2 linked regions of the Arabidopsis thaliana genome follow. The protein of the gene in region 2 interacts with the protein of the main gene of each other region in a biochemical or structural test. Each region holds a gene or a part of one and is shown on either strand. Other genes may lie near its edges.

Region 1 (5,219 bases), on a different chromosome or scaffold from region 2:
CAACCTTTTGCTATAAGGTTGGTTTCTATTAGCAGTCTCAGTTTGCTAAGAACGAATACTAGCTTTTCTTCTTAACTTTCAAATAACCAATGATTTTACCTGCCAATGAGCCTGGAGGGATCTTCCCATCTGTTTTCTCCAAGAAGAAAATATATTTTATCTCTACCATCAAAGTATCCAAACAATCCTCACAATTAATTCTCCACTATCCATACAAAATTTCACAACTAAAAGATTTTAAATAATAATTTTAAAAGTAGAAAATATTCGTACAATCTACAAATCTTTTATAAAATACTTTATAAGAAGTTTTCCGTATAAATAAAATATATTGTATAAATGTTTAATATTCAACTGAATAATATTGTTTGTTTTTTTTTCTAAATTGAATGATGTGTTTAAATATTATTATTATTAGGAAATTGATATTAATATTTTTCTTCTTACGAAAATAATATGCCTAAAATTAATAGTTATTATTGTTAATTTTACAAAGTGAATATTATTTGATAATTAAAATATAAGATATTGGACTTCATGTTTAAATATATATAAAAAACATTTAAATGAAATGAAAATATAAAATAAAATGTTATTTCCGGTTTGACATTAATTTAAATTAATTGAATTTAAAATTTGATAGCACCTATGCGAAATTATCCTAAAAAGACGATTTCCATTCGTGTGATTTGAAAAACAAACTAACTACGTACTTGTTCACTAAATTTATATATATATCTCTCTTAAACAACCATATTATGCGATTTGGAAAACAAACTAATTTGTTTTTTCATTAAATTAAATATGAATCATTATTATAAGTTTTTTTTGCCGTCGCAGACATCGCAAACTGTATAGCCAAGACCTTCACAGTACGGACACTTCGTATCTTCACCAACCCACTCCATGAACTACAACATTGGACAAGAGCTTCTCTGCTTTAGGCTACTTGATAATACATACATACACATAATCGGAGCGGGGTTATTTTGATTTTACTCACCTGCGGCTCAATGTTTGGCTCACCGGTTCCATCGCACTCTACATCAAGTTTTCATTTTATAATCATCAAATAATGTGCTACAACTCAGTGCTTGAAGTGTTACTAAGGTTGGTGTCTATTAGCAGTCTCAATTTGCTAAGAAAAATCATTCTTAACTTTCAAAGAACGGATGATTTTCACTTAACCAGGGAGAAGGGATTTACCTAGGCACATCAATCGACCCTCCCCTCGACAAGTGATGCACCTCGTTTTGGTGTTTGTTGATTCACTTCTGTCTACCGGTTTGTTCCTGCCAATGAGCCTGGAGGGATCTTCCCATCTGTTTTCTCCAAGAAGAAAAACCCGATTTTGAGTAACGTCAACTTCTCTGTCACTTTGATCTTTCACGATTGATTGCTTCTTCTCAGGGACTTGTGTCACTGAAGTAAATACCGCCCCATTACCAGCTTCCTTAATCAATGGAATTAAAAGAAAGATCCAGTATAAAGAACCAGTCTTAACAGGTGTATTAAGCAAATTAAGAGAAATTTCAGAATATTCATGTTCCCTAAAACCTCAAACAAGACAATGTAGTATTTATCCCATTTACCAATTGTATTTCAGACTCATATTAGACACTTCAGATTCCGAACAAAGCTCACTAGCAACAGAAACATCATCTTAGCTAACAAGCTTGCCAAAAGCATACAATGGGAGTCCATATTCTGTCGTAAGAAGACTGCATACCAAAGTAAAGAGAGACTTCATAACTACTCCAAAGGCTTACTACACAGCTAAAATCTATCATATTATATAAGTCGGTTAGAAACGAGCCATGCTATAGAACAAGTTCTCTGAGCTGTAGTTAGTGGTTTCAGTTTTTACCTCTTTCTTCATTGTACTTGCTTCATCCTTATCTGTCTCTACGTCTTCATCCATGAACAACCTCTGAAGAAGCTCTGCTGTCATTACCCCATCCTCACGGACCCCAAGCGATGCCTTTTAAACCATAAACATGAACCGTGTCAAAATCAAAACTACATGAGCACATGAGAAAATCACTGCGAGCTAAATGCATAAAAACATACTTGCCAAGTCTTAACAGCACTTGCAGTCCCACTTGAAAAGCTCGAGAACTCCATATCCTCTTCGCCCGAATAGAATCCTAATTTCAACAGAGCTTCCTATCACATAGAGGAAACCAAATCCACAACAGAAACCATCAAAAAAATAAACATTCTCCCAACACTTTCAACTAAAATCAACCTCAAACTTATGCATATTGGCTAAACTACTTCAAATCATCATCCTAATCTCTCAATTTTAAGCTAATTCTCAGTGATGATAGAACTAAATTGACAAATTACTCGCCTTTGGTTTAAAACTGAGAGCAGACCTGCAAAGCTTGAACATCGTCGCCTTCGCTTCCAACTTTCAATATCCTCCTCTTGATCTTCTTCACCGGCTCCGAAACCCTAACTTTCTCTTCAGCAATAATCACTCGCTTCTCTTCTTCTTCCACCTCCTCAACAATTTGTTCTCTCGTACTCTCCAATACCATCGGCGTTGCGCTCAATCCACTCTCAGAAATCCGATTCTTCTCCTTCAAAACCTGAAGCAAAGCAGCGATATTCGAAATCGTATCGGGAATAGAATTCCCCAATTGCGAATTTCGTGACTCTAGGGATTGAATTCTGAGCTGTAGATCCGAAATCTCTTGTAGAAGCGATTCACGTTCGCGTATCCATCTCTGTTCTTCACGAATCCATCGTTGCTCCTCGCGAATCCATCTCTGCTCTTCCCGGAGCCACCGGACCTCTTCGCGGTCGGGATTTTGAGTGGAGAAGCAAACGATTGAAGAAGGAATAGAGAAAAAGAGAGGAGAACATTGAAATGGTAGAGATCGAGTGGTACTAGTAAGAGATCGGAGTGGAAACGGAAGAGAAAGAGGTAGAGAAGAAGAAGCCATTAGAGAGTGAGAGGATAAAGTAATCGAAGCTTTTGTTAGTTACCACATACACATGGCGGGAAGATAATTTCCATTTTTTTATGTTATTTATTTTTTAATCTCTTCTCGAAGTATCTCTTGTGTATTTGTGTATAAAGCCCTTATATTATCGGTGGTATTCTAGGAAAAGGACTTAAATTTCCAAATTATCTTTTCAGACCCTTGAGTTTACTTTTGGAAATTTTCGGACCCTTGAGATTATATGTATATCTATATATAACCAGACATATCCATAACTGAAACATTTAAATTTTAAAATAAATTCGGAAAACATCTTCAAGCAAACAAAACAAAAGGCCATGGTAAAACATAAAAATAAGGAAATGGCGATGTGTTTCACATATATGTAACATTATACGAAAATTTTCAAATATTCATCCATGCGTTTGTACTTCACATCCGGATAGAGTTTAGTAGCTTCTTCGTCGTCTCCAACTTCATGATCTGTGAGACAACCTTCGTAGTATATGTGATAAAAGTGTCCTAGTCCCGCTTGGTGTGATATCTCCTTATCTGCATGTATATAATAAACATTTTCACATTTAATAGAAAATAAATACTTGGTCTAAATTCAACTCTTTCTCATAATTTACTAGAATCTAAAAGACAAAAACGTCTACTTTAATTTATGAGATGTGATATATAGAAAATAAATACTTGGCATGACCAACTTTTACATTTCGGTTTTAATACTAAACCAACCTTACATTAATCCAATGCTTTATTTAAGAGATGTGATAGAAATCTATAATCCAAAAGCTAGGTTTGTTTAATTTGGTTACTAGATGATGATTAGATTTACCTTCAATGTCAGCAAGAAAGTCGTTTCCTGAAACATAGGTCTTCTCCAACTCTTTTTCGGTTAGTTTCTCCCATATCTGAACTAGTTCCATTTGTGTGAGAATGTTGTCGGTAGGTCTAACATACACAGTTTTATTCAACGTTCGGGGATCATTAAGCGTCTTCGCTGTATATTTTGCCATGTCATCTTCATCTACGAACACCACTATAATAAAACCAATGGGAACAAAAATAGATTTTTTAGAATTTTCATGATTATAAAAGTGACACAAATAGAAAAAAGAAAAATATGAAGAGAGAGCGTTCCATAAGAGTTCTTCTAACCTTTAACATTTCCGTCCCCATAAATATCAACTTTGTTTTTCGGAGGGAACAAAGTTCCCATTTGAGATAAATTTCCGCCGAAGTATGCGGCAAAACAAGCACCGACGAGGTATGTGTGGGAGATCCCGGCGGCCTTAATTGCATTTCGTATTTCCATTTTTTGATCAAATGTTTCACTTCCTGGTGGCATGGCATGTCCCATACGTGACGGATCCATTCCAAATTCTGATGGTAAGAAACGCTGAAATATTTTTTAACTTATTGTAAGTAGTTTCACTGAAATATTTTAATTTTTTAGTGTAAGCACCACCGAACATAAGCTAAGACAGTCAATATTATTAAAAAAACATCCGACAAGATTGGTTGTATAATTTTGTTTTTTTTTCTAAAATGATTTATTATTATTTCAAAAACCTTTAGATAGTCTTTGAACAATAATGCATGCAAGCTTATTAAAACTTTGTTATTGGTAAGCCAAAAAGGTGACTTTTGTGTTACACAATTATCTTACAAACGGATCTTTATCTTTTCCAAGAAAATTATTAAATTTTTAAAAATGAGTATATGTCTATAGAGTTAAATTCAATTCATTTGCGATTGTTAGCAAAATATAGCCGTAATATATCAGCTATTTTCAAAAGATGCATATGTCATTGATGCAGACAGATACATTGTACCTTCATATTTTTTTAACACATATACTATTAATTTATGTTGTATATATGCCAAAGCAACTTTTTTGGAATACCAGCTACGATAATCGGTATTTTAAATTGCTTTAAACTCTGATGAAAAAGGTAACAACTACACTAGAAAGAAAAGTGTTTAGTGATGTATGAGTCCTTTTACCTTGACGTTACCGGCCTCTTTGATGGCTGCGACGAGCTTGAGCTGAACGGGGATGTTGTGGGTGCGGAAGTGGACACCGGACATGGCGGAGACAACCACGTCGACTTGCTTTACGGCAGAGACAAGGCTTTGGTGATCGGAGAATGAGCCTTCCACAAGATGTGCGCCGAGTCTTTTGAAAGAAAGAAGTAGCTGCACCTTCTCGATGTCCACTCCAATCTCCGGCCGCTGGAGAACATAAGTCTCGTGTCCCTC
Region 2 (4,667 bases):
ATTAACGAAAGCTTCTTCTTTTTTATTGTACAAAAAAGATATGGATGTCCTACCATGGATGAGCTTGAGGAATTTAGTCGAGAATTTAAGAAAAGACTAGATGATGCTGGGGCTGAAAAAGTAATCCCAGAGGATCTAGCCCTTGAGGTCAAAAAGAGTCTTTCCCCAGTGAATCAACTCTCACTTGGTTCAGTTTTGTTACAAAATTTTGTTTCCGTTTTTTTTTTTTCTGTGTAGGTGTCATCTCCAGGAGCGGAGAGGCTACTGAGAGTCCCAGAGGACTTGCCCCGATTCAAGGATATGCCAATGACAGTAAGCTATGTAGAAGAAACAAACTCGAGGAAAGCAGTAAAGAGTGGAGTGTTCCTCTTGGAGTCTATAGATGCAGAATCAGATAACTGTGTCTGGAAATTAGCAGATGTAAGGGAGAACAGAGATCCCGAAAGCAAAGGCAGACCGTTAAGCCGGAAACAAAAGGACTTGAGAATCACACTGCCTTTCGCAGATCACAAGAAGATAAATCTCTACTTGGATTAGTTAAGTAGACGTAGAAGTAGAGTTGCTATTAAAGTAAGTTCATCGTCACTGCAGTTTCACATTGCTGTTTCCGGATAATTTCAAGTGATTTTGTATTAGTTGAGATGGTGAGTGAGATATCAAAACATATGACAAAAATTCACACTACTAAGATGTTGTAAGATGTGAACAGGAAAAAAAAGCTGACTAACAGAAACATTATCAAATCTTATGAAAATCATAAACTACCATCTTCAAACATTGAGCCAACAAGCTCTAACTTCTTGTACTCCCTTTCCTCTACTGGTTTCATAACGTATGGACCATCTGGTTCATCATAAGGCTTTGAGGTTCTGTATTCCTTCTCTGTTATCGATCTTATACCGTTTGGATCTGATTCCACTTCATCTTCTTCTTCATCATCTTCTTCTTCTTCCATGTCATCCTTTGGAGGATATCCTCGGGTTTGTGCCAGCAACCATTGATCAATAATACCACACTCAATTGCATATCTCGCTGTGCGTTCCAGGTACCCTTTATTGTTCATAAGATCTGGCTGAACCGTAAGCATTCTTATTAGACCTGAAATAGAGAGTAGTGTGGTTCAGTTAATCGCAAGCATAACTTCCAAATTGCTATGAAAAACAAATGACACAAGTGAAAATGTACCTGCAACGATGCCATCTCCAGATGCTGACATATCCCTTGTAAAAGGAGTAATGGGAACATCCTCCATTCCGGAAACAGCACCATTGTGCTCTTTGGTATAGTAATGGATCTTAGAAGTGCCATTGGTCACAAACAAGACCTTGAGATTTTCATGCCAAAGCTGTTCCACAGTTTCTGGCGGGTAATGGACAAACTTACTGATGTCATTGTTTTCTGTATCGAACTCTTCAGTAGGCTCGATTCCGCATAAGAATTCAAGTTCCTGTTTTGTGATTTCAATGACGTCTGCAAGATTCCACACTTCCTGTATGAAAGACTTGGTTTCTTCGCTGGAGTGCCATAGTGGTAAAGGGAGATTCAAGTCATAAAAAATGACATTGCCTAGTTGCTTTGATATCTTGATGGCTTGTATCGTAGTTGACATCATCTTCTTATCGAGTAGAGAATGCGTGCTGAAGTAGAACATTTTCGCCTGCACCAAAGTTAAGAGATTGGTGAACAAGAAAAAGAGCCAAAAACTCAATGTTCCAAATCTCCAGGACAATATATTACCTCTTTGAGCACATCAACGTTGATTTCAGATTTTGAAAGTGAATCCTCTGCACATGGCTTAATACAAGTCGATTTCAAGCGACCTCTCTTGCTGATCTTCATAGTAGAACACGCCGTAACCCTTTTACCATCAATCTTAACTGATCTAGTTTGGACTTTGCACACATTCAGATAATACAACATGGCTTGACCATAGTCATCAGCCCCAAGTTTGCCCATAAAAGCAACCTTACCACCCAAGCTTGCAAGAGCAATAGCAACACCTCCTGCACATCCTCCAGGAGCCCGGATATACTTCTCTGGAGCCCACTTTGCATCTCTCATCCGTTCGTGTAGTTCATAATCTAATAGCCTGTTTGCTGGCCTTCCCGAAGGCACAAAAGCATGTTGTGCAGATCCAAAGCAACACACGAGAGGAGGCCATCCATAAGTGTGACTAATATCTTCACCTTCATGTTTACTCAGATCAATCTCTTCTTCTTCACTCTCTGTATCAGTGCTTTCAACAGCCAATGCTTCCTCGACATCACTAACCTCAGCATCCATAATAGTAGCTAAATCATCCTCCACATCTTTATCTTTCTTAACAGTCCTCTTTCGTCTCACTTTCTTCTCGGTTTTTACTTCCTCCACATCAGAAGAAGCTGCTGCAGCTGTATATATGTCGAATTCAAATTAAGTACTCGTGAATCATCAAGTGAGAACCATCAGCTCAGAAATGGTAAAAGTCATTACCTTTCTTTCTAGTTCTTGTCTTTTTTGGTTTCAAAGCTGAGACAATGCTTTCCTTGTCTAAAACATCATCATTATCAACCAAAAATTCAGAAATTTCTTCTAATGGTTCATCCTTAACCACAACCTTCTTCTTCGTTGTTCTCTTAACACTTTTAGATGGTTTCTTTCCCACAACCGCACCGTTTCCATCATTACCTTCTTCTTCAAGAGGTGCTGACTCTGATAACTTTCTCCTACCAGCAGCCATAGAAAAGCTTTGTTTCCCATTCCATCTTTCACCTCTAAACTTCACAAAACCATGCGACTGGAGCAGACAAGGAACATCTGCATTGCATCTGCCAAAATCAAAGCACAGCTATGAGAAAACCATTACATCAAAATGTGAAATTTTCAAACAGAAAGACAAATATAGCCCTCAATTCAAATCATTGTTACTCCATTCTTCTGTAGAAAGATAAGATGAGCTAAACTTAAAGTTCGCACATTTTTGGGCAGTAAACTGGTTCTACGCCAAATCCATAGAAACCCATATACTAAAATTTCCTAAGGTTAGAAAACAAGAGAGAGAGAGAAGCAAAGGGACCTGGGGAATGATAAGAATTGGGTGAAGGAGAGAGACGCCATGAACATCAAATAAGAGCTCTTTTCCAAACGAAATTGTAGTAAAACTAAGCTCCGAAACCCATAAAGTCGAAAGAAGCGTAAACCCAGAAATGAACAAAGGAGAGCAATATGTTTATGAGTTTTGAGGGAGATTGGGGTTTAAGCTCTGAAACCGCAAGAGGAGCTAGCTGGGAGAGGATGAGGAGGAGGTTTAGCGCTTTAACGAAACGGCAAGCATTCTATGATCAAAATACTAAAACGTCAAGATGTCCCTATTCTGTCTACTATAATTTATTTACGGCTCATTTTTCTTCTTTAAAGCTAGTGAATTTAGTATTGTCTATATGACATTCTTTTAATGTAGGTAGAAATATTTGTTATGTAAAGTTTTTCGTGAAATCGTTTGCTATTAAAAAACTACTTCAAGGAAAATATTTTGTTGTGAAGTTAATTGGCTCATCATCACAAAGCTACAAAAAACTTACGATTAACTGAAATCATAATTACTATGATGATTTACGAGTAAATGATTTGATTGGCATAGAAATAATGCCTAAAGATGGTGTGATGAAAAACTTAATACAATTCTAACACGAGGATATATATATATATATATACTGTATATTTATTTATTTTTCGTCAAAAAATATAGACTGTATATATGTTATGGTAAAACGGCTATTTTTTGCTATATAGTGAAAATAATATCGTCTGGAGTTATAATAATTAGAATTTTGTATGGTTAATTAATTTCTATTGGTAATGTAACCATGAGTGCCTTGAGTGGAATGAAAGAAAATTGATGTAGTCAGAACAAATCTATGAAAATTTTGATATTTTTTAAAAATGGAATGAAATAGCTGGAGACTAACACACAATTTTCCATCATCTATCCAAATATATGTTTAAATGGTAAAAGATAGAATAGATAATGAAAAGAATTATGAGAGATTCACTACCAATTTCAAAATTATGAGAGATTCATTACCAATTTCAAAATCTCTCTAAAAACAAAGTTTTCTTCTCTTTTTTCTTTTCTTTTCTAGATCTTCATATCTAATTCAAAAGAGAAGCTGACTTTTGACGAGCGTGAAAGACAGAAGGTACTTGGATAACACAACAAGTTCAGAAAAAAAGTAGGTGAAAATTGGCTACCACCTTGCCTCTCTCATACATAAGTATTGTTTACTTCCTTGGTTCTTAAAATATTAGAACCCATTTTTTGTGTTTCTAATAATTGTTTCGTTGTTATCTAAGACTAAACTCATAGTTTTGTATACTTTAAGGTCAGATCGAAGCAGACAATACTGATATTTTGGAGGAACCTATTCTAAAATGGGTTCGTATCTTTTTCATCCGTTTCATTTTCGTTGAAAAAAACAGCGTTTACGTTTTGATACACTAATTTCTGTTAAGTATTGAATCATATTTCACCTTCGAAACATGTTTTGTATATGACTCAGATTTCACATCTTTGGAAACAACAACTTTCGAAGAAGTCGTGATAGCTTTGGGAAGCAATGTTGGAAACAGAATGAATAATTTCAAAGAAGCTTTACGATTGATGAAAGACTATGGGATCAGTGTAACCA

What was found.
Region 1: the proteins of FLN2 (region 2) and PTAC5 form a complex in vitro, tested with the Arabidopsis thaliana proteins (one study listed by BioGRID).

What each region holds. Positions count from the first base shown.
Region 1 is NC_003075.7:7,946,376-7,951,594, reverse strand, and holds PTAC5 (plastid transcriptionally active 5), read right to left. Parts: upstream 3,017-5,219; 5' UTR 2,952-3,016; coding exon 2,379-2,951; intron 2,167-2,378; coding exon 2,071-2,166; intron 1,982-2,070; coding exon 1,868-1,981; intron 1,722-1,867; coding exon of another isoform or gene 1,668-1,721; exon of another isoform or gene 1,454-1,667; coding exon 1,207-1,453; coding exon of another isoform or gene 1,184-1,206; exon of another isoform or gene 1,045-1,183; intron 1,042-1,044; coding exon 1,004-1,041; intron 912-1,003; coding exon 816-911; 3' UTR 573-815; downstream 1-572. Other genes in the region: PRR2 (pinoresinol reductase 2), read right to left, coding at 3,343-3,503, 3,793-3,996, 4,116-4,356, 4,965-5,219. UniProt on the Arabidopsis thaliana protein: Exhibits zinc-dependent disulfide isomerase activity. Required for seedling and chloroplast development under heat stress, probably by maintaining plastid-encoded RNA polymerase (PEP)-dependent transcription.
Region 2 is NC_003070.9:26,014,453-26,019,119, reverse strand, and holds FLN2 (fructokinase-like protein), read right to left. Parts: upstream 3,097-4,667; coding exon 3,056-3,096; intron 2,808-3,055; coding exon 2,473-2,807; intron 2,391-2,472; coding exon 1,738-2,390; intron 1,658-1,737; coding exon 1,186-1,657; intron 1,099-1,185; coding exon 755-1,098; downstream 1-754. Other genes in the region: AT1G69210 (Uncharacterized protein family UPF0090), read left to right, coding at 39-147, 238-537; AT1G69190 (Dihydropterin pyrophosphokinase / Dihydropteroate synthase), read left to right, coding at 4,411-4,414, 4,539-4,667. UniProt on the Arabidopsis thaliana protein: Required for proper chloroplast development, most likely through regulating plastid-encoded polymerase (PEP) dependent chloroplast transcription.